Bombyx mori: one gene and its partner. The main gene of each other region encodes a partner of the protein of the gene in region 2 in a complex. Links are inferred from orthologs where the notes say so. Each region holds a gene or a part of one and is shown on either strand. Other genes may lie near its edges. The genes, in order: Hsp90 and protein unc-45 homolog B.

Region 1 (16,684 bases), on a different chromosome or scaffold from region 2:
AATATCTAATTTCGAATGACAATATTTTCTCAAATTACTCACACGCAGGAAAAAAATGTATGTAGGTATTTTAAACATGATTCTAGGTCATATACACAATTAAAATGAATTCAAACATATGTAGTCGTCGTGGCCTAAAAGCCAAGAGGTCGGGTGCATTGGTATGTAGCGATGCAACGGTGTTCGAATCGAATTTTTCTAATGAAATTTAATACGTACCTACTTAAGATATCTTCACGATTGACTTCCACGGTGAAGGAATAACACCGTGTAATAAAAATCAAACCCGCAAAATTACAATTTGAGTAATTACTGCTGGTAGGACCCCTTGTGAGTCCGCACGGGTAGGTACCACCGCCCTGCCTATTTCTGCCGTAAAGCAGTAATGCGTTTCGGTTTGAAGGGTGGGGTAACCGTTGTAACTATACTGAGACATTAGAACTTATATCTCAGGTGAGTGACGGCATTTACGTATGGGCTATGGGCTCTAGTAACCACTTAACACCAAGTGGGCTGTGAGCTCGTCCACACATATAAGCACTAAAAAAAAATAAAAAAAAGCCTATCAATCTTTCAAGCGATCTTGTCTAAAGAAAGAAATGATTGCGTTTAGGATATAATATAGCGGAATTCAATCAGATGACGTACGTACTAGACATGCTCAAAGGGTTAAAATGCTCATGATGTATCCTTATATTTAAACGTGACTGCCTTTTACCTGGTAGTAGGACGTATTTTGATACCCACTTACGGGTAGATATTACCTCCTACCATTCCTACCTATATTTCTGCGAAGGAATCATGCATTTCTGTTTGAAATGTGGAGCAGACTTTATACAATTGAAAATTCGACTTCATATCCCAAGGATGGTGGCATTATTTTTGTGATGTTCGTGGGCCCTGATAACCACCTCGGATACGACCACTTAAAATTAGGTGGGCTGTACGCCCCTTCCAACACTAGATGACGATCACGACCACTCTGTCAAGAGTGACACGACTGAGAAGAAGAAGAAGACGCGCGTTCACCCATCTACCTACGTAATAAAAATTACATAATATTGACATAGGATAACTTGAGATATTAGCTCGCGTTAATATAATATTTAAGAACGGAATAAGAGAAGGAGTACTTGTACGGAATGAAATAACGTCATTTTTATTTGGTTTAAAAAAAAAGAAAAACATAATAAGCGTTGTTATTGTAAATATACGTACAATCTAATTTAAAATCGGACTTTCGAGAGCCCTATTGTATTATTACTTTAAAGTTCCATGGCAATGTTCCATGTAATTCAAAAAAACTAGGTCAGGAGATTTAGAAAAAAGTTGATTTTAAATAAAAAATTAATCTCGTCAGATATACAATTATACATGCAGAAAGCATTTTTCCTATATTGTACCAATAACCTTATTGACCGAAGATTTTTCTAGAATAGTCATCTAGTTATCGGACGTATAGTAATGTTTCTGGAGTCGTTTAAAATTGCTTGAGTATGCCATCTAGCGTGGAGTAGATTACGTGGAGTATCTCACAGTTATGTCGATAGATGGCAGTGTATTAAAAAAATATAAAATATTCAAAATTACCTAGGTACACAGTTCCGCTGAACGAGGGAACCGGTGGTCGTTTCGCTGGCGGCCACCGGTCCGGCGTCCGTGGGACGGTGGGATGGATGTAATGTGCTCTGCGTCAACCCTGTCCCGCCGTTTCAATAGCCCCGACTGGGCTCTGGCCCGGTCCGAGGTAGGGCGCCGGTTGTGAGCGGCAGGAGTTTTTAGTGAGGTTCAACTCCCACATACCCCACCTGCCGCGCGGGTGGGGATCCGGCGATTTTCTCCTGTGGAAAAAAAAAAAAAAAAAAAAAAAAAAAAGGTACACAGTTGTACAATCCACAAAACTGCTACTACTTAATGTGAACCTAGAAAATATTATTTTATGGTATAGTTTACCTACGCGTTTAAACGAATGTAAGATTGTCTAGACTCTAGAAGGTCTGGGTAACCAGAAACGAAACAGTATATTGAAAATATGTTCAATGAAATGACAAGAACGAATGCATTTTGTAAAGCTCTTGTTGTGTGAACGAGTGATAGGTCGTGCGATCTGGATATATCAAGTCTTATATGTATTGGCTAAGGAGTATTTTAACCATCTTTTTTTTTTTGAATACCCAAACTTTCACTTGAAGCGAGGGCTCACGCTTTCGGACGGAAGGTCAGAATAATTGTTTTGCAGTCCTCTTAAGTCTTTAAATTATAGTTACTATCGTGGTAAGTCAGGTTCCCGACATATCTCAAAATTTTAAGGGCGTACATTACAATAATCAAATTAGGTAGGTACGTGATCCACCTTGACCAACGTACATAGATGCTAACTAGAAATTGCAGATTTTGTATAGGTTGAAACAGACTATGATTTAAATTGCATAGCTTGTTTTTGCATTACAGAGGAATTCTCGAATATCTTTGAATTACAATAATATTCGTTCTAAAATTTAAATATTCGAGTTATACGCCTTACATAAATTTTAAAACAACATTTTTAAGATACTTTAAGTAAAAATTAACGTCAGGCGCAAGCACGTCGAATAATGTAATCACCTAGATTAATTAATTGTTTGGTGTATATTTAATATTTTTTTTTTTACCATAAATTCCACTAATCGCACAAACACAATTTACCCCTACTACTTAGAAGCAGTACATTTCAAGAGCTCGTTTGAGACACGTGGCTTTAGATTGAATTCCTGTCCTGAGTGTTGCTTGAGAGCTAAGATCTTGAGAGCTACAAGGCTTAGCTTTCTCTCTGCCGTTGACGTCCATGAGCGAAGATTTATCGGGAGGGCTGTTTGCTTATGCTTAATAAATAATCGAATAGACATTCATCGCAAGTACGTATGAATTAAATACACGTTAGGTACTGAGAACCAGAAATAAGACTAGTATTTTTTAGGAAGGAAATATTACTTTTGACCTGCAGCCCTTTCCTGTTTCATCAGGACAGGTAGGCGAGCATGTGCACAGCCCACGCCTCCGAAGGAGACCTAAAAGTTCAAGGGCAGCTGCTTCGCGAATGCATCTAGTACTAGATCGACGAGAAACTCAGTGGATACTAATACATTAGACCTCATAAGAGTAAACAGTACTTACGTCTAACACCAAACTTGGTAATCTCTGCATTGGAAAGAATCAAATCTAAAAGTGAATAATCTTTCACAAGACAAAAAAATATAGCTAACATTTTATAATATTCTTAGCAATTTCAACCTCAAACTGTAATAAATTATAATAACGTCTCATGAGAAATTGTATGTACGTATAAGACCCGTGAATTGCATATAATATGTAGTATCTAGTTATGTTGTTAATCTATACTAATATATAAATCTACAGTGGTTTTTACGGATGTTCCGTTATAACTACTGAACCATGCATCCGATTGACTTGAAACTTGGTGTCCATGTAGAAAATACATGTACCTACTTAGTGGATAGGCTAAAATATGAGTGTTGGACTCCCTAATAATAATGACATTTTTTTTATTTTTTTTATTGCCCTTGTAGGCAGACGAGCATACGGCCCACCTGATGGTGAGTGGTTACCGTCGCTCATGGACTTCAGCAATGCCAGGGGCAGAGCCAAGCCGCTGCCTACCGCTACAATAAACAATAATGTTAATTTTCGGATATCCGTGCTACCCGCTGAGCTATTATTGCTCCCATAGACACAGACCATTTCAATAAAGCGGCACGACACACCCTCTCATTGTTGCCGCCGGTAATTACATTCCCGATCCTGCGGATAGAATGGAAAGCAGTCGACGTCGCCCCAAACACATCATTTCGGATCTTCCCGATCCACTAACGGTGCTTTTAGGTACCTCAAGCACCGGTCATCGTTCTCGTCGAACCCGTCGCTTGCGACGAAGGGCTCGACGAGTAAATTAACCCTCAGACACAGCCCACTGAGTTTCTCGCCGGATCTTCTCAGTGGGTCGCGTTTCCGATCCGGTAGTAGATTCTGCGAAGCACGGCTCTTGCTAGGGTTCGTGTTAGCAACGTCGTCTCACCTACTAGTTAAGGTTACGCTGAAATAGCCTCTCAAGGCTCTCAGCTAGGTAGGAAAAAAAAAAAGACAGCCCACGAGTGTCGCGCCGGATCTTCATGGGTCGCGATTCCTCGCGATGTTGGATTCTGGGGAGCACTGCTCTTGCTAGGACTAGTGTTAGCAAATACTTAGGTTGAGCCCGTAAGATCACGTAGGTACTCATTCGCGCGAAGTTGGAATAACCCCTTAGGCTACCTAGTAATCTTAGTAAGCAGAAGGGCATTGTCACGACGAAATATCAATGCATATTACCTTCCGTAAAGGAGTATGTTGGTCGGCTCCGTCAACAATTACCATCACATGAGCCATATGACATCACATGGCATATCGTATTAAATGTAGGTATGTCAATTTTCATTCCTAATCAATGATTAGGTACCTATACCTACTTAGATATTTAGAATCAGATCGGATAGGGCAGATTGTGGATGTAACGTATGTCATTTTAAGAGTTTTTTAACAATAACTAGCTGACCCAGCGAACTTTGTTCCGCCTTAGAGACAATGTACCTATGAGCAGACTTGATTTTATCAAGGTCAATTTTTATTCGGATAATTAATGTAAATTAAAAAAGCAAGTATTTTAATGGTTCTTTATTGGCCATGTATTTTAGTGCATGGGGTCGTCCACTTTTTAGTGAAGCACCTTGTGATAAGACGAACTTTTCGTTTTATTATCAGGTGCAAGAATAAATAACGCAGACGGTCTTCCAACCCGTTAACATGCCACATATAATTGACCATAGGAAAAACATGCATTTTCTAGATTCAGACTACAAACTTTTAAGAATTGACCTTGTGATTTGTTTATGGTAATGGCGAAGGCAAGACGGATATAGTATCCTATGTCCTTCTCCTGGTTCTAAGCTACCTCCCCACCAATTTTCAGCCAAATCAGTTCAGCCGTTCTTGTGTTATAAATAGTGAAACTAACAAGACACTTATATAGGTATATAGATTACAAGGTACCTACATAGTACTTATGCAGTTGCATTCTATTTTAATTAAATAGAGATTTATTCAAACTACGTGTGTAGCAAGCCATTTGTTTGGCATGCGTCACATTAATTTTTGAAACTTCCGGAAAAATAAATGTAGTATGGCATTTGTAACTGCAAGGGTTCTTAAAAATTAAACTGCTTTTCACATATAAGTGGAGTTTTATTGATACATTCAGAGTTCACCTTTAGCTATTTACTAATGTGTAATACTGCACTAAGAACATTTTCAAAGGTTGCCTACATTACGAACAGTAACAAAACATTTATAAAGATACAATATTGTAAGTATTCTGGCACAATTATGAAGTTACTTTAAAAAAAAATCAACAGAAAATCATTTTGATTATTTATTAAAATAATGGAATTTTTGAACTAAATCAGTCTTTGGCTGTACACCGATGCACAAAAACAAACCATTATGACATGGTTCCTACAGTTAAAGTAGAGATCTTAATCAACCTCCTCCATGCGAGATGCATCATCGGCATCACCCTCCAATGGCGGCACATCTCCAGAAGCAGGCTCTTCAACCTGAATCGGCTCATCTTCATCAATACCAAGACCCAGTTTGATCATTCTATAGATACGGGAAGCATGGACTTGGGGCTCATCAAGCGTGAAGCCAGAAGACAGCAGGGCAGTTTCATACAATAAGATAACAAGATCCTTAACAGCTTTGTCATTCTTGTCGGCTTCCGCTTTCTGCCTTAATGTTTCCACAATCGAGTGATCAGGATTGATTTCCAAATGCTTCTTCGCAGCCATGTATCCCATTGTGGATGTGTCACGTAGAGCCTGAGCCTTCATGATACGTTCCATGTTGGCAGACCATCCATATTGAGCAGTAACAATACAGCAAGGAGACTCCACAAGTCTGTTAGAGACAACAACTTTCTCAACTTTGTTGTCCAGGATGTTCTTCATCACCTTGCACAGCCCTTCGAACTTCACCTTATCTTCCTCACGTTTCTTCTTTTCTTCCTCATCTTCAGGAAGTTCTAATCCTTCCTTTGTGACCGATACAAGGGTCTTGCCATCATACTCCCTCATCTGTTGTACTACATATTCATCAATGGGCTCAGTCATGTAGACTACTTCATAGCCACGTTTCTTCACTCTCTCCACAAATGAGGAGTTCGCCACCTGGTCTCTGTTTTCTCCAGTGATGTAGTAGATATGTTTCTGATTCTCCTTCATCCTGGATACATACTCTTTCAGAGAGCAGGCTTCATCACCCGATGCCGAAGTGTGGTACCGCAGAAGCTCAGAGAGCTTAGCCCTGTTTTGAGAGTCTTCATGGATACCCAATTTTAAGTTCTTGCTGAATTGTTCATAATACTTCTTGTAGTTTTCTTTGTCCTCTGCCAATTCTTCAAATAGTTCTAGGCATTTTTTAACTAAATTCTTCCTAATTACTTTCAGAATTTTATTCTGTTGAAGCATCTCACGTGAAATGTTTAGAGGAAGGTCCTCACTGTCGACAACACCTCTAATGAAGTTAAGGTACTCTGGGATGAGATCCTCACAGTTGTCCATGATGAAAACTCTTCGTACATACAGCTTGATATTGTTCTTGCGCTTCTTGTTTTCAAACAAGTCAAAAGGTGCACGACGTGGCACAAAAAGTAGTGCACGGAACTCTAACTGACCTTCAACGGAGAAGTGTTTGACTGCAAGATGGTCCTCCCAATCATTGGTAAGGGATTTGTAGAAGTCTCCATACTCATCTTGGGTAATGTCATCAGCGTTTCTGGTCCAGATAGGCTTTGTCTTGTTGAGTTCTTCATCCTCTGTGTATTTTTCTTTAATTGTTTTCTTCTTCTTCTTCGTATCTTTTTTGTCCTCGTCTTCATCCTCACCTACATCTTCAATCTTAGGCTTCTCATCTTCCTCTTCCTTCTTTTCTTCTTCGGCTTCATCATCAGACAGTTCTTTTTCGCGTTCTTTTTCAACCATCAGCTTGATTGGGTAGCCGATGAACTGGGAATGTTTCTTTACGATCTCTTTGATTTTGTGTTCTTCCATGAATTCTGCCAAGTCCTCTTTGACGTGAAGGACGATCTTTGTACCTCGACCAAGGGGCTCACCGCTGTCTGGGCGGACTGTGAACGAGCCTCCTGCAGAAGATTCCCACACGTATTGCTCGTCGTCATTGTGTTTAGAGTGAACAGTCACGCGGTCAGCGACCAAGTAACTGGAGTAGAAGCCAACACCGAACTGTCCAATCATGCTGATGTCGGCACCTGCTTGAAGAGCCTCCATGAAAGCTTTAGTACCAGATTTCGCGATGGTTCCCAAATTGTTCACCAAATCGGCCTTGGTCATACCAATACCGGTATCGATGATCGTAAGAGTGCCCTCGTTCTTGTTGGGAATGATCTTGATGTACAGCTCTTTGCCACTATCGAGTTTTGACGGATCCGTGAGAGATTCATACCTGATTTTGTCTAAAGCGTCCGATGAATTGGAAATCAGCTCACGAAGGAAAATTTCTTTGTTGGAGTAAAAGGTGTTGATGATCAGGGACATAAGCTGAGCGATCTCAGCCTGGAACGCGAAGGTTTCAACCTCCGCTGGCTGTGTCTCCATTTCTTCCGGCATTTTCTTTACTGCTTTTTGTTTAATTCACACAAAATGACTAGAGGGTTTTTAACACACGTGTTTCAAAGCGCAAAGTATCGCACGTTAGTCTCTGTACTTCTCTCAGTTCAAATAACGCCGGGCGCGGTGTGTAAATTCGTTTTTATACTTTCCTCTAACAAGCGACATCTATGAATCAGTAGAAGTTTCTCGATTCTGACGCTATTTCCGTCAGAGAGCATCAACATTTTACCATCAATACAAACCGAAACAATATTAAATAAAAATAATTAATCATTTCAAATTAATTGGCAATTATTTCATTTTGGGAGGCCATAAAACGAAGAGAAAAATCATTTACTTAACACTGCAAGTTTCTTTTTGTATTAGTTATTATTGTATCACCCGCTTTGAAATTTAAAGTGTTAGGAAAAATATATTTCCTTAAAATAATTCAAGAAATTATAAAGGTAATTACATATTTCGTACATTTTCATCAATAGATTCACTAAAATATGCCAGACTAGTTAAATAAATAATTAAAACATAACAGAGAAAAAACCTTTTTAAGTAAAAGAAACATCTCACATTTTAAATTTTCCTAAGCTGTTCAGTGTTTCGCATTTTGCAGATCACTAAAAATATACAGCATAAATGTAAGAAACCAAATTACAACTAAAAAAAATTTATTAAGGCAGTGTAAATTGCATCCAATTAAATGTAATTGTTAGTTAAAAACACAGTAATTTAAAAAACTGGGGAAAATAGCAAAATAAATAAAATTACCAAATGTTGTATAGCTCTGCCGAATTATTTTAGTGCCGCTATTTGGCACAAGGTGGCAATACGATCTACACACAAGAATATCTGGAACATTCCTGAATATTCTAGAAAAGCATCGAAATTTTAACATTACAGAAATAACTTAGTTGAAATTAGAGTCAATAAATGATACAAGATGAATGTTAAATAATTTGACCACAAAACTTTTCCAAATTTAATCAAAGAATCATCGTAATTCGTAAGAAATAACATTTTACCCAGATCATTCCAACCGCTTCCTTCTTATAGTTTTACTATTCACCGCATTCGGCGCTGGCTGCTTCCGATGAAATTCTTAACGAAATTAGTAATACCAATAAATAAAAAGCACATAATTCGTTCCATTTTTTGACGTTTTTTTTTGGACAGTAAATCTCTTTATCGGGGTGTATACGTTACGTAAATATGTCGCTAATAGAGAAACCGTGATTATAGCGCGATTATAAAGGATATTCAGTTGAATACTGAATATTGGATTTCTTTTTATCAATGTCTATATTGTATCGATTAGATCCGCGAATAAAGAGATCTTTAATTGCGAAAATAGGAATCGGGTCACATTTTAATCTGCGAATAGTGAAAACGCGAGTGAAGGAAACGCGAATAATGAGCTATTATTGTATCATAATGTAGATTGGAGAAAACATTGATTAAAATTACAATAGCAAACCAGAACGTAGTAATGTTCAGTTTAAGATGAGTTACTTGTTTTGTTCATCAAAAGTAAAGTCTTATTGTTCATTTAGATGTCAGAAATCATTAAAATAATTGTTCCTCGTCTTCTCCTCCTATACACCCTGTATCAAATTTGTGTTCTCGTTATCTACAGGTAGAGGAAACTATCTTTGCCTCGCGACATTATCTCGCAAAACCTACAGATCTTTAGTCTCATCTTTCAAATAATGCAAGATCCACCTGATACGTTCTCATTATCACTACTAATTTTAACGCCAAGAGCAATAAAAGCATGGTTCAGCTAACTCGTCGACGATTTGAATGTGATACTGAGCTCTAAGCTTCTCGACACGGAGTAGATGCACTCGTAAAGTAACTGTCCTAGTACTATTAAACCCCTTTTGGAGGCACTCTGGCGGCTATTAGCAAACTCTTTCCCTCCAAGCTGTGTTTTTGAGTTAATCCACCCGTCCTTATGAAGCTGTTAAAGTCTCCGCCCACCAGCAATAGTTATAGCCCATAGTTTTATGCCACACAAACTGAAACGATTAGCCAGAAAACCTTCACGAAAGTGGTGTAAATTTAATGCTAATCATCTTACTATTTCATCAACACGTTTAAAATATAATTAAACACAAACCATAATAAAAAATTGCAAAGAAGCGATGAATTCTGACAAATTTAGTTATTTCACTTACAATAAATATTTTTTTATTTGTTGGCAGCACTGCTTTAGGGCTATTGATTAAAGTTGAAATTGCATGAGCGCATAGTGCGCAAACCTTATCAGATTTCACATCATAATTTTTTTTTAAAGACTATCGATATTTAAAGCGAACTGAGCCATGGAAATGCCGATTATTTCCTAGAATAATTAATTGAATCAGACTGAATTACGGAAATAAAAACATAACCTATATTTCAACTTTTCAACTTGTGGACATAAAAATATTGAAAAACCTAAATGTAAATTATATCTTTTTTCAAGTTGTTTAATTAGAACTAATTTTTAGAGGCTGATTATGGTAGGTAGAGAGAGCCGTAGAAGTTTACGCTCTATGCTACTAATAGTAGGTAGGTAGGTACCTTTAGATACCTAAACAAATGTAACATTCTTTGCCACTTCAAATGCAGATTTTTCTTGTTTAGGACAACTTTATAATTATAATAATATCTACCTATGCTTATATGACGTTTAAAAAATTATGGCAATACTTATTTCTAATCCAATTTTGTTGAAGCCGGCGTTTTAACCTAAGAAAAACACGTGTTTCAACAATGAGGAATTAAAAGAATTTATCATGTATCTAAGTTTAATGACCTTTTCATACAAAAACTCTCCGGTTACGGAAAATTAGATAACATTTTTACTAAAAAAAGGTAACTTGAGTTCAGACTAATGACTATTTCAAATTTTGCGTAAACTGAACGAATAGATAGCATTAGAATCTGCTCGAATATGTTTATTTCACTATTTGAAATGCCTGACAACAACAGCTATTTTATGCAAATGCCACTGTATCGTAGACAGCTATCCGTAATTTCATGTTCTAGATAGGTAAGAATATAATTACATAGGTACCTATTTCTTTAATTTGACTCGTAATATCGACATAATGGACCGAATTGTAAAACTATGATTTAATTAATAAAAATTTGATTAAAATTAAGTTTGTAATTACCGCAGGAAACATTTAAATGATTTTAATTTAAAGAAACCATAAATTTATAAAGTTTATGACTTTTGTAGAATAGGGTGGAATTAAGAAGTTGAAAAATATAAAAGAATCCACAATAGGTTATAAATGAGTTTGCAAAATTTATTGCGCCTGAAATTTGTTTTGGGCAATATTCAAACCGGTGTTATTGCGTTTGTCTTCGTATCTTACCAGTACTTATTTTGAACATTTTATATTATGTGCCTAATACATAAAACGTTTTTAGTCTAAATGCTAAACAGACGTCCACATTTAATAGCCCCAGCCTAGGATTTTTGTTTTGGGCATCGGAAACAAACATAATTTGTTAATGGGCTTTGGAAAACGTTTACCACCATATTGGTTCTGAGTTGTACATAAATGAGCAGTGAAAAATTTTCAAGACAAGCAAAAATAAACTTAGACCCCAAAATATGTGTTTTATTAAGAAATTGCCTGCGCCCTGTACTGGCATCCCGAGGTGGTGGTTGGTACCTACAATGAGCGTCACTAACCCATAGACAGTTAGGAGTGGGTGATATAAATCGTATATAGATTCAATATCTATATATCGCAGCAGTATCGTTGAATCCGATATCGCCCCGCACGAAATCTATATATCGATATCAGCCGATACACGATATTGCTCGATGTGATGCGCATCGCCATATCGTACCGATTCGTGAATCGAAATCTATATTTCGATATCAGCCGATACACGATATTGCTCGATATGATGCGCATCGGCATATCGTACCGATTCGTTAATATCAGCAATATTCATTTGGTTCGTATCGAATCGGCCAGAGTGAGTGAGCGCACGATAGGGATATCATGTGATGAATGAAACAGAAACAGGCATTATCCATACAATTGTAAACCTTATATTTAAGTCCATATGTCTGTAGATTATTCTTAGCGTATCAGCAGGATACAGTTAAGGAAAGAAGTTTCAACTTTCGACCCTAACTTGAATGCAGTATAGCCTATTTGCATCGTTGAATTTAATTTCACGCGCTTTGACCTTGAACTAGAATTTTTGGACAAGTGTTTATAAATACTTAAAAGTTTTTTGTGTTTGATTTTTAAAGTACACATTTTTCTATTTTTAGTTGAATCCAAATAATTGAGTTTATTTCTTGTGTTTGTATTAAACTTTTGAAATCTACACTCTTTTGGTATATTTTGTAATTTTAAATTAAGACACAAAATACTAAAAACTGAAAATAATGTAGCCAGTCCTAAGCCTGGTAAAAGCATGAAGGAAAGTTTTTTTGATATTTTTATTTTCATGTTCTTTTTATTACTTTAAGATCATATTATAAATTGATATCAGAAAACCAACCGTATAACGTTGACTTAAATCTATATCTACTACGATATTATATCAGCGTATCGTTTCAAATCTCAAATATCATGAATCGAGAAAATCTACTAGCATCCATCAATATATAGATTCAGAAAATATATAGATTCAATATCCGATATTGATCCTCGATATATAGATACGATTCGATACGCGGCAAAACCGATATTACCCACTCCTAATAGACACTATCAAAACTAAGCATATGTAATTTTTTTTCAACTAAAATTGAAATCCGCGGCTATTTTTAATTTAGATTATTAGAGTAATGATTAGACTCTACCCTATCACTATCACAACTACGCCGCTGCTTACTTTAGAATACTCATAAGACTAAGACTTGTTTAAAGAAAACGTATTATGTAGGGGTTCACAATTATAGCCTATCATTGATAATTAATGTCATTCTGCATTTTAGTTTCTGTTTATACTTTTCTTTTTCAATAGAATAATAAATAAAATAATACATATAAAGAAAACGTTAATTTTGTAAACGTTGCGTTCATACTTTGAAGTTCTTTAGTAAGTAGATTGTTTAATATTTTCATATTTTTAAGCTCATGCCCAAAAAAATTATAAAGCGTCGGTATCAAGGCCATAATTTAAAAATAATGTTCAAGTGTTCAGTAGACTTTACTAGAACGTTCGGTCATGGCATCGCATCGGATCGTTCAATATCAAAAGTCGGCTAAAAATCTAGACAAATAATGTTAATTAGTACCATCTAGTATTGACATGACGAAATTATTTTCCACATTTTATTGTTAACAATTTATTTTGAAACAAATAACTGTGAGTTTTCTATTCGTCAACAGATGGCGCGGTAGCAAACTTTCGCGAAGGTTCCTAAAGTTTCTCGACAATTCGAGGTTTTGAACTTTAAAAATATATAAGCGAAGCGAGGGCGCTGCAATCACACACAGGGGGGTGCAACTCCCATACAAAGGAAAAGAACATTCAACTAGCGTCATCTTTAGGAACCGGCGAGGTCATTTTTGAAACGTTTTGGCCTTAATGAACTAATAAACTCACTAGATGGCAGATACGAGTTCTGACTCAATAAAAAAGGTTAGCGTACTTTGAAGCAGTGCTTCCACTTTTAGGGAATTCTCCCTTTTTTAGGGAAAAATAGCTGATATTTTGGATGATAAAGACAATTTAAAAAATACCAGGATTTAGGATATTTCGGGGTAAAAAGCAAAGCCTATACTAGTAACTGTTGTGAATTTTAAAATAAACGGTTTTTAAAGTAAAACAATGAACATTTTATTTTATGGAGAGAGAATGACATTAAGTCGAGTTGACAAGTAAAAGAATAAAACAGAGTTGTGTATAAAAACTATTAAGAAGGTTTGATTCAACAGTAACCCTCTAGTAAAGTAAATCATAGATTAAGCCACTGCTTTTTTCTTAGGGATTCCCCAGAATCCCAATAAGTACAGGGTGGCCCATAAGTCCTTTGATATGAAAAAAAATTTATTAAAATAAAACTAATTACATTATGAATTAAATTTTTATTTACATAAAAAGCTTAAAAAACGGGAATTATTTTTTGAAAATAACATCTCCTAAATGTAATCCGTTGCGATCACGGCACTCTTGCAAACGACGTCTAAAATTGTCGATGACTGCGCGGCACGTCACTGCTGAAATGCTTGTCATTTCTCTGCGGATGTTTTCTTTTAGGGCCTCAATTGACCGCGGGTTTGTGTCGTATACTTTAGCCTTAAGGTAGCCCCACAAAAAAAAATCCATCGGGGTCAGATCTGGACTACGTGGAGGCCAGGAAATGTCTCCTCTCTTAGAGATAACTTTGCCAGGAAAAAGTTGACGGATAACGGGCATAGCAGTGTTAGAGGTGTGAGAAGTGGCCCCATCCTGTTGAAACCACGTCCTGGCATTAAAGCCTGAAAAGTTTTGCAATTCTGGTATGAAAAACTCTTCGATCATAGCAACATATCGCTCCGACGTAACAGTAACTGCGCGCCCTCTGCCATCCTCAAAGAAGTAAGGCCCTAGGATACCATGGGCTGACATAGCGGCCCAAACAGTCACTTTCGGACTATGTAAGGGCTTCTGATGCTTAAGTTTTGGATTGATGGGGCTCCAATAGCGGCAATTTTGTTTACTAACATGCCCGTTAAGATGGAAATGAGCCTCGTCAGAGAACATTATGTTATTGAAGGAAGTAAACCGATTCAACATTTCATTCGCATAATTTTGTCTTTGAATACCGTCAGTTTCCTTTAATTCTTGAACCAACTGAATTTTGTAAGGGTGCATATGTAAATCTTTCTTCAAAATCCGTTGTAACGATGTCCTGGATACGTTTAATGCTCTGGCGCGCTTACGAGTTGACTGTGTCGGATTTTCGCGAATAGACTGTGTCACTGTGTCTATGTTTTGTTCCGTACGTGACGTCCTTGGGCGACCCAACCGCGGTTTATCTAACGTCGAACCGGTCTCCTCGAACTTAGCAACCCAGTTCTTAATCGTTTGAAGAGTTGGAGTGTCGTCAAAGTTGTGTAAACCTTTGTGTTCTCGAAATTTACGCCGCGCAACGGTTGCCGAATTGTCTTTTTTATAAAACTCGCGCACACAAAACGCACGGTCCGCTCCGGTAAAACGCTCCATCGCGACTAAATTCCCAGAAACCGAAGTTACTCCCCCCGCTTCCCCTGCACCGCTCACGCGCGCCCTGTTCGTTTTATTCAAATTTTACTTTTCAAAGGACTTATGGGCCACCCTGTATAATCCGCCAAACTTTTATTTACCTATTTTCGTTGATGTCACCAGAACTTACTTGTATTGTAACATACAGGTACTTCATGTACCATGAAAGATTATCATGGTAATTTCATTTACGAAAACCTTGTAATTGTCATTTCACTTTTGCTAGCAGTTCCTTCTTCAAAGACTGAGGTGGAAAGATTATTCAGTGTTCTCAAATGTAAAAACTGACAAAAGAAACAGGCTTTCTAATGAAACCCTGAACGGCTTGCTTCATAGAAAGTTCCCAACTTTGCCAGCAAACAATTGCTCAATTTTAGAACCGAACAGTGTTAGGTTGCGTGCAGCAAAAGAATATAAAAGCAATGCGTCGACTTCCTTGAAAATTCTAATCCTATAGATCTATGATCTTCTGGGGGCGTTTATATTATATATATCTACATTAAATAATATGCTGTGGTTTATTTTCTGTATTTTATTTATGCTTTCTATATAAAGGATTTATGAAAGTTGTCTAGGAAATTTTAGGGATAAATTCAAAAGAAACTAGGGTAAAATGTGTTAAAAAAAACTTAAGTGGAAACACTGCTTTGAAGTTTTCAAAATTCCAGGGCCGTAAAACAATCTCAAAAAAAAAAAAAAAAGTTTTCAAAATGTCGTAACGATTTAATTTTTTAAATCGTTTTTTTTTGGTCTTGGTGTGAGTTATTTTACGTTGTAGTATTAATTTAGAGCATCTTTTAGCTTTATGAGAATATTAGACGATTAGACATTGAGAAACTCTGTTTTGAATTCTCTTTAGACATAACTTGGTTCCAATACTTTTTTCTTCGTTAGCGTTTCGTAAGCCTGTGTAACTATTTTCGTTTCTTACAGAAAGTTTATTATTAAAAATCAGCATGCCTCGAAGATCGAAAATGAAATGCTATTTCGGATGCCTTGATAACGGTGAGTTTACACTATTTTCCCGGTATATTATTTGCTAACAGAATTATTATTCATAATATAATTAAATGAATTAGCACCAACTAATGGTCCTTCCTATTTCTGCTGCCTAGCTATCATATATGTTAAGTTTGATTAAAACAGTCGGTGTTAAGTCTCGTACTATCACACACACACCTCAGATAATAAAATTGTCTCGAGTGGGTGGAAGTATTTATGTTTTGCAACTCAGCGTATTATATGCTTATTGTCAAGTGGGCCCGAACTAGTTTTTTGGAATGATCAATCAGTCATGCTTTCCTGTTTAAATAAAATACAGCACAATTGATCTCACATCCAAAGTTAGATGATGGCATTCACATTTTGTTTCCTGGTGTTTGATAACCAAGTGGCCTGTGACCACGTTCATCCTTCTACCCAATATAAAATAATGTTTTTATTTTTGTAGACAAAGGTTTGATAATGACAAAATTTTATGGAAAAATTATAAGGAGCACTAAAATGTCTGAAACATGAAAAGATTGATGCACTATATTTGAACCAGAACGTGTTATGTAATATATTAATTTGTAAGTATGATTACATTAACACTAAATTTTTCATGGTCGTATTTTTTCAATATTTGTTACATACTTAAGATACTTTGTTTCTCCGTTTCAGAAGAGAAACTGATTCAGCAAGGAACGTGAACTCTCAAGGGATCTTAATTTTTTTTAAATATGTTTATAATTTATAAATTAATAATTGAAATAGTTCAT
Region 2 (16,647 bases):
GCCTTGATCTGTAAAAAACCTAAATTGACATTTTTGACAGTTCAATGGTGGCCTGTTATATATCATCTTAGGGTGTATTTTCACTTTGTGTATCCACTGCATGTGGTTCCTTAGCTGCTCTAAGTCTTTAATATAACCATCACATATTTCGCAGATGACAAAAGTGGCTTTAGAATTGTGAGCTGATTGTGAGGAAGAAGGCTGTGGGGCTCGAGGTAAAGGAGTGATTGATATTTTAGGGGCGGCAGGTGCATTGCTTTGATTATTTACGATTGGATAGTTGGAGATTGTCGTTCCAGGTGGAGTATTATGCATAATCATGACACCACTCCTTATTATTGGCATTCCTGACACAGCAGAAGGACGTGGTGGACCTGAAAGGGGAGGACGACCTCGCGGTCTTCCCAACATGGGCATATTAGGCAAGGCATTTGTAATGTTCAATTGAGGCCTGCCCATGTTATTCATATTAGGTCTATTATAATTTGATTGGTAAGAACTCATCATATTATTGCGTGCTCTGGTTAACTTTGGTATTTTTGCTGGGGGTTCCCATTCTAGAGGAGGTCCTAAGTTAAATTCTGGCTTGAATTTTTTAGCACAAGCAATCAAATGTCGAGCCAGTTTTGTTTTACTGTTGTCTTCAAAATGACAGTTAGCACATTGCTGGTATGCAGGAGCCCGTTCCAATCTGCCCCTAATATTGTGTTCTGCCTCCATATGGAACAATATATCATGAGGACTTCGTATTTCAAACTCACATGAATTACACTTGTATATGTTACTTCTCATGTGAGGTGCTTCAAGGTGATGAGCCATAACTAACATAGATTCAGTTTTAAAACTACAAAAATCACACCTTCTGTGTGAAAGAGCAAATGGTGCATTTGTTTTCTTGCTGAAATCTAAGTTCTGAGACAAAGATGCAATTGCAGCCTCCGTTGACTTGGTACTGCGTCCTGATTTCTTCTCTTTATAGAGCTTGCGCTGTTGTTGCTTTAATAAATCAGTTTGAACATACTCTTGCACTAAATTCAGTCCAATGTTAATAAAAAATTGTCCTAATGAACAATCAAAGTAACTGTCTGGCTTTCCACTTGAAAGGCTTTTGGCAATAAGGCTGATTGGGTCGGTGGTGTCACTGTCCTCTTTTTCTTTAATTACTACAGCATCATCATCACTGAGAGCTTCTTCCTCTGACTCAGAGGATGATTCACCGTCCCAAGAATCATCATCATCATCATCAGTGCGTTTCCATCCTTGTTTTTTCTCTTTCTTTTGTGCAACTTCTAGTTTTCTGGACTCCTTAACCTCATCATCTTCCTCTATTTCTCCTCTTTCAATTCTTTCCTTCCTCTCTTTATCTCTCCTTTCCCTCTCAATCTTTTCCTTCTCTGCTTTTTCCTGTTCTTCTTTAATTTTGAGTTCTTCAAGCTCTTTACCAAGCTTGTCCACAAATTCTCTAAAAGGCTTTAGAGAAGGTTTCTCATAAACATATGGAACAATGAAGGATGGTGCTTCAACAACAAACATATCATCTGTGAGAGATGGCAGTATGTTGGGAGGTGGAGCTGCAGGAGTACTATTATGAGCACTGTTCTGATTTGCAGTCTTATTACTAACTGGTGTGATAGTAGTGCCCCGAGCAGCAATGCTTTGGCACAAGTCCTGTTGATCCATCATACTAGTAGTAGTAGTTGTATGCATTTTGCTTTGCAACGGGAGAGGCCCTTTGCCAGCAAGTATTGAATTTGTATCAATAATAACAACTGTAGGCTCTTTATTCTGATCCCCATTTGGTTTAGTCTGTTTAGAAGCTAAGTTGACCAAACACTTTGTATCATTTATCACAATAGGTTTGTTAATGCTTTGTGTTTGGTTTAATGGATCCTCCATAGCAATTTCTTCAATATCAGACTCATCAGCACCATTCTCTTCTAAATGTTCAATGTCTTTCTTCTCTGTTTCCTTACTACTGTGTTGGGATCCTTCTGAACTATCATTACTTACTGTACTTGAGTTGGAGGAATCATCTTCATTTGTTACACCCCCCTCTTCCTCATCATCATCACTAGTAATTTCATGAACTTCTGGTGCGGGAGAGCCTCCATTTTGATTTTGAGGCTCAGTCTCATTTTCAGAGTCACTACTGTCTTCTTTTGGGTGGCTTCCTTGTGAGGTGTCATCATCACCTTCTGTGCGTTCATCTGTAAATTGTAAATGCAACTAGTTATTTCAAACTGTTCTTTTCATCAATAAAAGCACTGAAGTTGTAGAATATACTACTGTAGTGTATATTGATTATTTATTAATGTAATACTCATTGACTACTAATATTTTAATTTAAGTAACAGTGTCAATTGTGTTATTTTGTTTGTTAATTTTTACCTAATTTAATACTTTGCAAGCAGTTTTGTTTATATCAAAGTAATTTAGTACTAATAAATTATTATTAGCACCTTCATGATTTCAAATAAATTAATGTAGAGAAGTTTGTAGTAGTGGTTACTTATTGTACTGTAATTAGGCCTTATCTTCCACTTAACTTAGAAAAACAAAACAAGAAATTTTAAAGTAATGTTTTGATTATTTTATCTAAAATTTTCTAAACACAAACAGGAATGAAAGTCAAAACAATATACGTAACAAAAACTTCGGTATATAAAAAGTCTATTTTTTTTTTCGAAGAGACTAGAAATCTAGTAAAAACCGGACAATCATCGTAACCTAAACATCGTGAAAAAATAGCGAAAAATAATTGTTTCCCGCTACTCCTAAGAGCATATTGAGTAGGTCAAGCAAAAAAAATGTTTGATTTATTGAATAGCGTCATTATATCATGTGAAGTGTGGACCGCCATATGGGATTCCATGGCATTTCTACAAGAACACAACTCCACCAGGTTCGACGGTAAAGACTAAGAAATAGATTTAAAAAATGAAATGTGTTCATTTAGTACAGTAAGGTGCATACCTGTAGCAGTAGAAATCGACATTTTCTTTGGATTTTCCTATTAAAAATCGAAAAATAGCACAACAGTACAGTAGCGGAAACCAAACCAAATCAAGCTGTCATTTTGAAAGAAAGGTCTCTGGCGGAGTTTGGCGTGTTGCGTTCCGAAAAAAAATAGTTTACCGTTACATTTTACCCGAATTTATAATACTAATCTACTAATGTTAATATCCTTGTAGTATGTACCTACATCATAAAAAAAGACTTAAAAGAATTTGATTTCCAAAAATTAAGCAAAATATAACTTGATAACTTATGTTTGAAAACAATAGAAAGAGAAATATAGTAAAATTCAATGGTGAATAAATGATCGTTAGGACCGACACAGCGTATGTCTCATAGACTCATAGATATATTTTCGGTACATACCATAGATGTTTCCCACCTACACCCGATCCATCTCGGCTGCGGCTCAGCTAGTCAGAGCCCAATCGCAACATATATGAGAAAAAGTAAAACGCGCCATATTTAAAACGCTAAATTTCCGGACAAATCTCAGTCTACACTTCAGTCGATTGTACCAGCTGTTTCTAAATCACGACGACGATTTCGGCGACGATTCCTATTCCAAAGCATTAGTAATTGCGATTGCAAAATTTATGTTACTATTTTTAGCAACGCAATGCATTCAATTGAAAATTTGCTGCCTTCGCTCTAATTGCGCGTATTTACGCTATAATAACTTGCTTGTAGCCAAGTGGTAATTTAGACTTAACACCACGTAAACCCACATGGTCGTTCACACATCTACTCTATGAAAAATGCTATTTAAGAAATAAAGTCATTAAACTATGATTCGTTCATAACTTTATTTTATCAAATAATTTTACAAGCATACTTAGGCGTCTCAACATTTTATTTTTACTTTTTTGGTCGGTAGGCTCGTGGGGCTATTCATTCTTCTTCAGGCTGCTAGGCGAACTCATGGGGCTCAGCCTGAGAGAAGCTGCCAACAACTGCTATAGCCAGAGCAGTGCTTTATTTAATCTACCACCGTATCGGAACCGCAACTCACTTGAGAAGATCCGGCGAGAAATCCAGTGGGTAACATTAACAAGTAAGTTTGTGTAGTTCTGGTCACAAGAGTTATATAGTTCGATCATAGAAGGAATCTCTTTTAATTTTAAGAGTAGGATAGATGAAATAAATGAGGTTTCGACTTCATATCTCAAAGTGTGACTTATTTCAAACGAAAAGAACTCTAATATTGTGGATAAATTTCGGTGCTCGTTTGGCAACTAACCTGTGATGGTAAAATATGCCATTAATAAAAAATATATTTAAAAATTATAAATACAAATTACAAATTCTATGCAAACAATTTTTTAACTAAATAATGTATGTATATTACTTTCAATATTTTAACAAAACAATCCTACAATATTATTTATTTCTTTCAAAATTTATTTGGGAATTTCTTAAAAACACCAATCATTATGCCTCAGGCTTTCTTATGACTCCTAAGTCCTCAGCTGCATTTAAACATTTTTGAGCATATTCATTGGCTCTGATGTGTGCTTCATCATTTAATTTAGACAGTGCCATTAATATTTCCATTATATCAGTCTCAAATACTTTTGCAGCAAAATCTTTGTCATCTTTTATTATATTGTACAACATATAGGTTCCTCTGTATTGTATTTCTGAGTTTGGATTTGCTAGAAGACACCTTAGTGTTTCAGGCCATTGCTCGACATCTAGTAATTTTCGACAGCAAACTTTACTAACTGAAGTCAATATACACAAAGCACCTGCTGCAGCGGTGACTGTATCCTCATCTTCTTCTTGGCACAGTAGGAATAAGAATTTGGTTTTGTCATTTTTTCCTTCATATGATTTGACAACTTCTTCAGACTGAAGTAAGTTACAAATACACTGTGTGGCTGCTCTAATAAGCATCATATGGTCTTCATATAGGTAATGTTCAATCTTAGATAAACCTCCCTCTTTGATTATTCTATTTCTGGTTGTCTCATTCATTCCAGCTAAATTGCACAAAGCCATTAATGCTTCAAAGTTTTCCAAGGCTGTACAATCTGGATGTAATAATGCCAGTAAAGGTCTAATGACTTCCAAATTTCTTTGACCAGGGAATGCCACCTCTGGATTTATTGTTATCCCAATTCTGGCTAAAGCCTGAGCAGCTTGTTTTTTTCCATTTTGAGTACCCTCAAGAGACATTGGTATTAGAACTTTTGCTCCACCTTGTTGTACAACTAGGCCTCTCAATTCTTGCAAATTACAAATAGCATTGAATACTCTAGCTATGAGTTCTCTTGAGTTGTGACTCTCCGTTTTAGCCAATGCTACCAAGCCACTGGTTACACCAGCTTTTGTCAATACTGATATTCTCTTGCTTACAAAATCAGGATCATCCAATTCATGCTGTTCGGGTACATGATGCTTAGCAAACTTGGCTAGTTCTAACATTTCAGGCATCATTTCCTGCTTTTCATATGCATTACACAAGTTAACTATAGTGGTTACAACACCATATAGGCATGACTGATCACCAGTTTTAGCCAACTCAATCAGAGCTTGAATAGCTGGCTTATCTTCAACTAGTTTCTCTTTAACATCTGCATCTAAGGTTAGATATGAGAGACCTTCAGCAGCCCACTTTCTCACGTCATTATCTTTAGATGGATTTACCAAAAATTTTCTACAGGCTTCTGCTAGTTTTTTTGTGGAACCTTCCGCGAATGGGCGTATGGAAGCATCATCACCACCAAAACTGCCAATTTTACATAAGCCTACTAAGGCTCTTACTCTGACTGCATCATTTTTGCACTGGTAAAGTTTTTTCAAGATATCAACACCTTTAGTAAGTATGGCTCTGGCTTTGTCTTTCTTGGATGCAGCTGCTATCAAACATTCACAGGCGACTTTTTGCTGCAGTAGGTCATCAGTTTGAGCCATAACAAGAATCATTTCTATAATACCATCTTTAGATATAACATAGTTACCAACATCTAATGGGCCTCTAAGTAGAGAAGTGATGGCTACAGTTACTCTAACTTTTGATTCCAGATCAGGACTGAGCAGTTTGTCTTTAACAAATTCATCTACCTGCTCATTAAATTTCTCTCTCGCCTGGTCATAGTACATGTTTTCATATATTCTTGCTAAACAAGCTGCTGCTATGGTTCTTGAGGATGCTGTGATATTCATGGCAGATTCATATTTATATTCATCCAGTTCACTGCAAACTTCTAATAATCTGTGCAGCCCTTTGATTTCAACAAATCTTTCTGACCAATTGATTGCACTGTAGTGGCAATTCCTCATGATTAGTTCAATGAGAGCATCTCTAGCCTGTCCACTGATAACCCTATTGGTGATGCAATAGGTGATACAGGTGAGTAGAGTATCTATTTCACTTTTGTTTTCCTCACAAAGTTTAGGGTCAGGTTTTGATTCCTGTTTATTGTCCATCCCTGAAAATGAGTTAAGTATGATCTGAAGGCAATACTGAGCCGCATTCACTCTCTTCTCATCAGTACTGTCAATGATTTCTAAAATCCACGGTATCCCAACAACTTTCAAAACTGCTCTTGTTCTTTCAATGTTCTTTTTGCAAATTTGACCTATGACACGGATAGCATTGATGTAAATTTCAGAATTTTTTTCCACTTTTAGTAGTTGTTGAATTCTTTGAACTACACCATTTTTTAACATTACCTCAGCACCACTGTTTTCTTTCGCTAAAACTAATAGGTTAGCCATGGCCTTCTCACGTTTTTCAATATCTTCACCTAACCCAAAAGCCAACTTAAACATTTGTTCCACTTTATTGCTTGTTTGAGCATTTTGGCGAGCTCGCTCTTGTACTACAGTGTGTAGACGTGATAGAATAGGTTGGACAGCTTTGTTAGTTGGGTCCACAGTAAATATTGTTTTGGCATCTCTGTAGGCTTCTTCAAATCTCTCCAAACATTCAAAAGCTTGCGATCTCCGGAACAAGGCTTTCGGATCTTCTGGTATTATTTCTAGAGCTTTATCACAGTCACTGATCACTTTTTCGAATTCTTTGGTCTTTAAGTAGGCTGCGGCCCGATTTTTTAAATATGTTGCAAGGTCTCGGCTGCCTTTTTCGGCCAAATTTATCGCCTTAGTGTAAAAAGTGATTGCCTCCTGATAGTTTTCAGATTTAAAAGCATCGTTTCCTTTATTTTTGTAAGACTCTGCTTCCTCTTGAACAACCATCGTGTAGTCCGTTTATCTGCGAAGCCAATTTCCGTTTTATTCTTCACAGTTCTTTTACAGCCTGCTTAATGTAAATGAAGATTATTCTGGTAAAATCTGGTGGTTTCATTTCAAGACGAACTAAAATAGAATTTTATTTTTGTCCCAATGTGTAAACTAGGGATGTCGATCTGAGATTCTTTTTTTAGAGATATTTTTTACTGATGAAAAACTTCGATTTTTTAATCGATTTTAGCCGATGAATCGTTCTTGATTGTGCGGTTCTGATCTTATACCTAACTGTGTCCTTACTAACTAATCACCATATTCCAAACCATTGCATGCGTTGGGAAAGATTCATATACATGGAATTTGCGTTCATTGTGAGTCGAAGAAAACAAATGCTGTAGGGCGTAATTTTTAAGTACAAGAGGATGGGTTTTCTTTATCGCATCGAGGCCAATAATGAAAAATAGATTCAATACATACAGCAACCTATGGAAAAAAAAAGTTTGAGGACTGCCCGATCATGAATCTACGCTATCATGTCGGCCGAATATTCATACTACGAAGGTTCTGCTTGTGTTTTTTTTAGATTTTTTGGGGGATTTAATAGGACCCGGTCGGCGTTATTTAGAGCTGTTGGAATGGCAAGAAATGGGGAATGCTATCGAACTGAATTAATGAGATTAAGCTGAGCACGTTGCGAAAAACGGCAACACTTACCGGTGGCGGGACCTCTTGTGAGTCCGCACGGGTAGATAGGACCACCCTGCCTATTTCTGCCGTGAAGCAGTGATGCGTTTCGGTTTGAAGGGTAGGGCAGCCGTTGTAACTATACTTAGAACTTATATCTCAAGATGGGTGACGCGTTTACGTTGTAGATGTCTTTGGGCTCCAGTAACCACTTAACACCAGGTGGGCTGTGAGCTCGTCCACCCATCTAAGCAATAAAAAAGCTAACTTTTAAAAACAGCTTCGTCATCATCGAGTTTTAGAATCATATAATCTCGATATTTATAAATTTTGGTTAGACAGTAAAATTTGAGGGGACTGTGTCCTGTAGGTGAGGGGCTATTTAAAAACACTCTGCTTCATGATTAATATAATTACATTGCAAATACTTTGAACACTATTACACTATTATAATATTTTATCTATACAAAACTCTTAGATGTTGCTCTGACCGTGTCTAGATGAGAAGTCGTTGTCTTCACTGACGAGAAGACAATCGTTTGATTTAAACATTTAAAAGCATTCCAATATTCGAAATCTGTAATCTTACATGTGTCAAGTGTTGCCTGCCATTACTTCCTTAATCAAACTCTAATGCCGGCCACTGACATGCGCGCAAATATTCGTACATTGTACGAATGTTTGCGCGCATGTGAAGGGCCGTCAAACATTCATTCGCAAACCTAGCAGCTGTGCAAATGGGTTCGGTACTCAATTTGCGAACCCGTTTGCGCTTCCTCCCACACTTGTTTACGAATGTCTCACGAATTTCTCCTCCTTTTTAATTCGTCAATAGAACATTGAAGAGAAAAAGAGTTTTTAATTCCTTCCCAGACATCATTAACAGCCATGCTGTTTTTATGGGATTTCTTTTGATGAAGATACGCTACACAGTAGACGTCACGAACTATGAAAATGGCGTATAGTATACGTCCGTTACCCATTCCGATAGAGGCACCCGTCACGTGCGGACGTGCTCATCGTCCACTCGATCGCCCGGTCTTTGTTAGCCCGGCCATTGTTCGCGCGGCCTGTGTTTGTGGTACATCTGCCGACTAAGTGCTCTTTCTGGAAGTTTTTATTTGTTTTGTTTCCTTTTGTTGTTTCTGTGTTCGTGGTACATCTGCCGACAAAGTGGTTTCCTGCAAGTATTTATTTGTTTTGTTTCTTTTCGTAATTTCTGTTTTGTTGTGCTTTTTCTTTGTCCTGTAGTAATCGCGCCGCTTTGCCACCTGTGTTCAATAGAACCGCTCAGGTCCGAGTAGTTGGGGCCTCGCCGCAAGGCGAGTGTTTTCAAGACCCGGGGCCGCCCCACCTGGGTACTCAGCGATCATGGACGCTGTATTCGCGGAATTCCTCCGACTTCGCCACCCACAGCTCGCCTCGGAGTTTTTGGCCTTCAAGGCCAATCACACTGCGAGCCCTCTCGAGGACTCCGCCGCGCTCGCTGCTCCTGCGTCGCCTGTACCTGCGTGCAGAGCTTCTGCATTGAGCACCGCAGCCTCTGTCGTGCCTGCCGCTCCCGTGTCGCCTATACTGGCGAGAAAAGCTGCTGCGTCGTCCGCCGTGACCATCGTTTCAGCTGAGCGATCATCCGCGGCCTCCGTCGCGCCCTCTAAAACACCTACACTTGCTCGTAGGTCGCCTGCACCCGCCTCCTCGTGCTCCGACTCTGACTCGGACATGGAGGTCGACCTCGCCCCCGCCTCATCGACGGATGGATTCACCCTGGTACAGAAGGGTAAGAAGCGTGCCGCGGAGTCTCGAGCTCCCGCGGCCGCTAAAATTAGCAAAGCCGTGAACGCGTCGCGCCCCCGCCCTCAGACTCCCGTTGCGCCCCCAGCCCGTGCCACTCCGTCGCCGCGTCCGGTGGCACAAAATAAAACCCAGACCCCTCCCCCGGTTATCCTTCAGGAGAAGGCAGCTTGGGATCGAGTTTGCCTGGCCCTTAAGGCCAAAAATATAAATTTCACGAATGCCCGTAACCTCGCGAACGGCATTCAAATTAAGGTTCAAACACCCGACGACCATAGGGCCCTCTCTTCTTACCTCCGTAAGGAGCGTATAAGTTTCCATACGTATACGCTCCAGGAGGAGCGCGAACTCCGCGTTGTAATACGCGGAATCCCTAAAGAGTTAGATGTAGAGCTCGTAAAAGCCGACCTGTTAGAACAAGGCCTACCAGTGAATTCTGTGCACCGTATGCACACCGGTCGCGGTAGGGAGCCATATAATATGGTTCTAGTCGCTCTCCAGCCTACCCCCGAGGGTAAGAAAATCTTTAACACACAGACCGTCTGTAGGCTCTCTGGTATCGCTGTCGAAGCCCCCCATAAAAAAGGCACTCCTAGCCAGTGCCATAACTGTCAATTGTACGGGCACTCTTCCCGTAACTGTCACGCGCGCCCCCGATGTGTTAAGTGTTTGGGCGATCACGCCACGGCCCTCTGCGCTCGCGACCAAAAAACCGCGACGGAACCGCCTAGCTGCGTCCTGTGTCGAACACAGGGTCACCCCGCGAATTACCGTGGTTGCCCCCGAGCCCCTAAAATAAATCGCCGCGTCGCCCGCCAAAACCGCCTCCGAGCTTCCGGCCCAGACATCAAAGCCTCGGCACCCTCTGCGTCGCAGGCTAAGCCAGCGTTCGTTCCGGCGGCGGTGCCCAGTGTCTCGGCCTGGGCAAAACCGCTGCCGTACACGAACACGGCTACAACTCCCTCCTCCGCGATTCGTCCCGCCCCCGCGACTCGTCCCTCTCCCGCGACCTGCCCTCCGACCGCGTCCGACAATCTCGCTTTAGCGATCGACTTCTTTCAGTCGATCAACTTTGAGCGCGTTAACGCTTTGGGCGACGCCATTCGCGCTGCCTCCACTGCACAACACTTTATCGCCGTTGTGCAGGAATACGCCGACGTATACGCGTCATTAAATACGTACGTCCTCCCCTCACTCCGCCGGTAATCAATGGCGTATATAAGTAGAATAAAGCCCCTATCCGTAACGATAGGATTTTTTAACGCTTACGGTCTCGCAAATCAACGTGATCAGGTTTCTGACTTTTTGCGTGACCACCAAATTGATATCTTTTTAGTGCAGGAGACCCTACTTAAGCCCGCGCGCCGTGACCCTAAAATCGCGAACTATAACATGGTCAGGAACGACAGGCTCTCTGCCCGTGGTGGTGGTACCGTCATTTACTATAGAAGAGCCCTGCATTGCGTCCCGCTCGATCCTCCCGCGCTCGCTAATATCGAAGCATCAGTGTGCCGAATCTCACTGACGGGACACGCGCCGATCGTTATCGCGTCCGTTTATCTTCCACCGGATAAGATCGTTCTAAGCAGTGATATCGAGGCGCTGCTCGGTATGGGGAGCTCTGTCATTCTGGCGGGCGACCTAAATTGTAAACACATCAGGTGGAACTCACACACCACAACCCCGAATGGCAGGCGGCTTGACGCGTTAGTCGATGATCTCGCCTTCGATATCGTCGCTCCGCTAACCCCGACTCACTACCCGCTAAATATCGCGCATCGCCCGGATATACTCGACATAGCGTTATTAAAAAACGTAACTCTGCGCTTACACTCGATCGAAGTAGTTTCAGAGTTAGATTCAGACCACCGTCCCGTCGTTATGAAGCTCGGTCGCGCTCCCGATTCCGTTCCCGTCACGAGGACTGTGGTGGATTGGCACACGCTGGGCATCAGCCTGGCTGAATCTGATCCACCATCGCTCCCGCTTAACCCGGACTCTATCCCGTCTCCTCAGGATACCGCTGAAGCCATAGACATCTTAACGTCACACATTACCTCGACATTAGATAGGTCATCGAAACAAGTTGTAGCGGAGGACTTCCTTAACCGCTTCAAATTGTCCGACGATATTAGGGAACTCCTTAGAGCTAAGAACGCCTCGATACGCGCCTACGACAGGTATCCTACCGCGGAAAATCGTATTCGAATGCGTGCCCTACAACGCGACGTAAAGTCTCGCATCGCCGAAGTCCGAGATGCCAGATGGTCTGATTTCTTAGAAGGACTCGCGCCCTCCCAAAGGTCTTACTACCGCTTAGCTCGTACTCTCAAATCGGATACGGTAGTAAGTATGCCCCCCCTCGTAGGCCCCTCAGGCCGACTCGCGGCGTTCGATGATGACGAAAAAGCAGAGCTGCTGGCCGATACATTGCAAACCCAGTGCACGCCCAGCACTCAATCCGTGGACCCTGTTCATGTAGAATTAGTAGACAGTGAGGTAGAACGCAGAGCCTCCTTGCCACCCTCTGATGCGTTACCACCCGTCACCCCGATGGAAGTTAAAGACTTGATCAAAGACCTACGTCCTCGCAAGGCTCCCGGTTCCGACGGTATATCCAACCGCGTTATTAAACTTCTACCCGTCCAACTCATCGTGATGTTGGCATCTATTTTCAATGCCGCTATGGCGAACTGTATCTTTCCCGCGGTGTGGAAAGAAGCGGACGTTATCGGCATACATAAACCCGGTAAACCAAAAAATCATCCGACGAGCTACCGCCCGATTAGCCTCCTCATGTCTCTAGGCAAACTGTATGAGCGTCTGCTCTACAAACGCCTCAGAGACTTCGTCTCATCCAAGGGCATTCTTATCGATGAACAATTCGGATTCCGTACAAATCACTCATGCGTTCAACAGGTGCACCGCCTCACGGAGCACATTCTTGTGGGGCTTAATCGACCAAAACCGTTATACACGGGAGCTCTCTTCTTCGACGTCGCAAAAGCGTTCGACAAAGTCTGGCACAATGGTTTGATTTTCAAACTATTCAACATGGGCGTGCCGGATAGTCTCGTGCTCATCATACGGGACTTCTTGTCGAACCGCTCTTTTCGATATCGAGTCGAGGGAACCCGCTCCTCCCCACGACCTCTCACAGCTGGAGTCCCGCAAGGCTCTGTCCTCTCACCCCTCCTATTTAGCTTATTCGTCAACGATGTTCCCCGGTCGCCGCCGACCCATTTAGCTTTATTCGCCGACGACACGACTGTTTACTATTCTAGTAGAAATAAGTCCCTAATCGCGAAGAAGCTTCAGAGCGCAGCCCTAGCCCTAGGACAGTGGTTCCGAAAATGGCGCATAGACATCAACCCAGCGAAAAGTACTGCGGTGCTATTTCAGAGGGGAAGCTCCACACGGATTTCCTCCCGGATTAGGAGGAGGAATCTCACACCCCCGATTACTCTCTTTAGACAACCCATACCCTGGGCCAGGAAGGTCAAGTACCTGGGCGTTACCCTGGATGCATCGATGACATTCCGCCCGCATATAAAATCAGTCCGTGACCGTGCCGCGTTTATTCTCGGTAGACTCTACCCCATGATCTGTAAGCGGAGTAAAATGTCCCTTCGGAACAAGGTGACACTTTACAAAACTTGCATAAGGCCCGTCATGACTTACGCGAGTGTGGTGTTCGCTCACGCGGCCCGCACACACATAGACACCCTCCAATCCCTACAATCCCGCTTTTGCAGGTTAGCTGTCGGGGCTCCGTGGTTCGTGAGGAACGTTGACCTACACGACGACCTGGGCCTCGAATCAATTCGGAAATACATGAAGTCAGCGTCGGAACGATACTTCGATAAGGCTATGCGTCATGATAATCGCCTTATCGTTGCCGCCGCTGACTACTCCCCGAATCCTGATCATGCAGGAGCCAGTCACCGTCGACGCCCTAGACACGTCCTTACGGATCCATCAGATCCAATAACCTTTGCATTAGATGCCTTCAGCTCTAATACTAGGGGCAGGCTTAGGGACCCCGGTAACCGTACTCGTCGAACTCGACAAAGAGGTCGACGTGCAACCTAACCCATGCATCAGCCCGCTGAGTTTCTCGCCGGATCTTCTCAGCGGGTCGCGATTCCGATCCGGTAGTAGATTCATTCGCGAAACAATTGCTCTTGAGTTGTTAGGTCTCCTTCGGAGGCGCTCGGGCAGTTGTTAGCAAATCCCACCCCTCTTGGCTGAGCCTTTGCTCGCCCACCTGTCCTGGTGAAACTGGAAAGGCCTTCGGGCCACCAGTAAACTTTCAATCATAAAAAAAAAAAAAAAAAAAAAAAAAAAAAAAAAAAAAAAAAAAAAAAAAAAAAAAAAAAAAAAAAAAAACGTCCGTTACCTTCGCAATCGTCGGCGCAACTGGGCAAGCGAATGTGTGGGAGACTACGCGAAGGTTCGAGGTTCGCGCGCTTTGATGTCTGTTAAAAAACCGACACAGCTTGGAAAACCACGAATGCAGCGAAAACTTTGCATAATCATTCGCAAATGTCGTCCTACACTTGTGGGTTTGCGTATTCGTGCGCATGTGAGTGACCGGTGTGACAATTTTAATGGAAACTAGCACGTAGGATCTCTATGTAGTCAACGTCAATTGTAGTCTGTGAAATTTATAATCTATGGTAAAATCTGTGATCCATTTTTGATATCGGCTTGTACGAAAGAGTTTCCTCGTGATTAATTGAAACTGAAAACGTATTAAACGAAATGGCTGCCATTAGTTTATTAAATCCTAAAGCCGAGTTCGCTCGTGCTGCACAGGCACTTGCTGTAAATATATCCGCAGCTAAAGGAATTCAAGATGTAATGAAAACTAACCTTGGTCCGAAAGGCACGATGAAAATGTAAGTTATAGAGCTATTTACGTTTAAAACTATTAATGTAATTTGTAGAACATAATATTTCCGGCCTTTGACATCATATCCAACTAAAACATTGTTTCACAACTAAGTAATTACAGATATATACACCTTTCAAAATTCACATGTTTGAGGCGCTACACATACTAAGGATTGGTTATCACCTACATGCTTTACTTTAGAAAACACTAAGCCTGAGCGATTGCGATGCCGTCTAAACAAATCTTATGATTTCGAACAGTACCAGAGAAGCATATCACGTATTCATAAAAAGCGATCCACCACCACCCCCTCCCCATCAATATCATTTATTTCATAAAACCAAACTTGTACCAGAGTTAACTCGTGACGAGTGAACGAACAATGATTATTTCGATAGTGCACTATTCTTTGTATAATATAGATTAAATAAAATTAAATTTTGGTGTTTCAAATAACTTTAAATCTTAATCATCTACATAGATCTTTTTATCTTCTATTTTTTTTTAGTTATTCAATGACAAAACTGAACAAAAAAAAAGTCTTTACTGTCACAGTTTATCCAAAGTTATTAAAAGAGATTGGTACATGCTTAAATTGGCAAAAAAAAAACAATTTTTTTATTTAAAAAAGAACTTGAATTTCTATTATACTCCTGTACAATACGTTAGACTGTTACAATTTGTAATAAATAAAAAAATTAAAAACTTTCGGAAAACAATATTTCTATTTCAATACAGTAGCACTGAAAGCGTTTTTTGTTGGCTCTATGCAGTTATCCATAGTTTGTTCCCTAACGACATAGGCTCTGCTGCAGAACTATGATTAAACTTAATATGCTATGGAATTGTCAATTGCTATTGTAGTTAAAACATTCTCAGTCTCTGTACTGTTAGAATTAAGCCGTTTTTTTTTAAAACATACATCCTATTTTATTTGTCTTTTATTAAAGTATCCTGAAGTTTGTTAGTATTTAGGCCATTAGTTGCAAATACACATTTCATAGATTAGGTATCAATGAAGTTAAACTTTTAAGTTATAATTCGTTAGCTTCCAATGGAATACTAGAAAACCATTTGTATGGATACTCATTGTGGTCTAAAGGATAAGATGTCTGATGCATTTTTATGTAGAGATGCAGCAGTGTTTGAATCCCTGGATCCCGAATACAAATTTTTCTAATGAAATACATACTTAACAGTTGTTCACAATTGACTTCCACGGTGAAGGAAAAACAGTGTAATAAAAATCAAACCTGAAAATTATAATTTGACTAGTGGTAGGATGTCTTGTGAGTCTGTACGGGTAGGTACCACCTTGCCTATTTCTACGGGGAAGCAGTAATGCGTTTCGATTCGAAGAGTGGGGCAGCTGTTGGATCTCGAGGTGGGTAACAGCATTTACATTGTAGATGTCTATGGGCTCCAGTAACTACTTAACACCAGGTGGACCATGAGCTTAAGCAACCTCCACCCAATTACAACAACAAAAAATTGCCACCTTTCCAGCTCTAGCTCTTTAACATTCTAATATTCTAATAACTTCAAAATGCTTGCCTCCATAATAATTGTCACATTATTTTCTAAACAACATAATATTATAATATTATTAATGGTTTTCATTTTGAGAAATCAAAATTGTGTAACATTTTGTTAATAATGCAATGACTATTTAAATTCCTTCCAGGTTGGTTTCTGGTGCTGGGGACATAAAGATCACCAAGGATGGCAATGTTTTGTTACATGAGATGCAAATCCAGCACCCTACAGCCTCACTGATTGCTCGAGCGTCAACCGCTCAAGATGATGCCACTGGAGATGGTACAACATCTACTGTCCTCCTCATTGGAGAGCTACTTAAACAGGCCGACATATTCATCAGTGAAGGTTGTTATATATATTTAACTTTATATTTCCTTTTTTTTTATTGCTTAGATGGGCGGACGAGCACTCAGCCCACCTGGTGTTAAGTGGTTACTGGAGCCCATAGACATCTACGACGTAAATGCGCCACCCACCTTGAGATATCAGTTCTAAGGTCTCAGTATAGTTACAACGGCTACCCC

What was found.
Region 1: the proteins of protein unc-45 homolog B (region 2) and Hsp90 are in contact, whole or in part, in a crystal structure (PDB 4I2Z), measured with the Caenorhabditis elegans proteins. The link is inferred for Bombyx mori from reciprocal best matches to the Caenorhabditis elegans genes unc-45 and hsp-90. Residues at the interface, in NP_497205.1 of Caenorhabditis elegans: Arg12, Asn16, Val19, Tyr31, Val48, Arg51, Asn52, Met55, Lys59, Val81, Lys82, Phe85, Arg86, Asn113, Asp114, Ile117; in NP_506626.1 of Caenorhabditis elegans: Ser696, Arg697, Met698, Glu699, Glu700, Val701, Asp702.

The regions. Positions count from the first base shown.
Region 1 is NC_085133.1:8,890,384-8,907,067, reverse strand, and holds Hsp90 (heat shock protein 83), read right to left. Parts: upstream 7,805-16,684; 5' UTR 7,713-7,804; coding exon 5,562-7,712; 3' UTR 5,251-5,561; downstream 1-5,250. UniProt on the Caenorhabditis elegans protein: Molecular chaperone that promotes the maturation, structural maintenance and proper regulation of specific target proteins involved for instance in cell cycle control and signal transduction. Undergoes a functional cycle that is linked to its ATPase activity.
Region 2 is NC_085122.1:9,732,422-9,749,068, forward strand, and holds protein unc-45 homolog B, read right to left. Parts: upstream 7,702-16,647; 5' UTR 7,219-7,701; coding exon 4,447-7,218; 3' UTR 4,218-4,446; downstream 1-4,217. Other genes in the region: MOG interacting and ectopic P-granules protein 1, read right to left, coding at 1-2,207, 2,974-2,995; chaperonin subunit 6a zeta, read left to right, coding at 14,452-14,588, 16,269-16,468.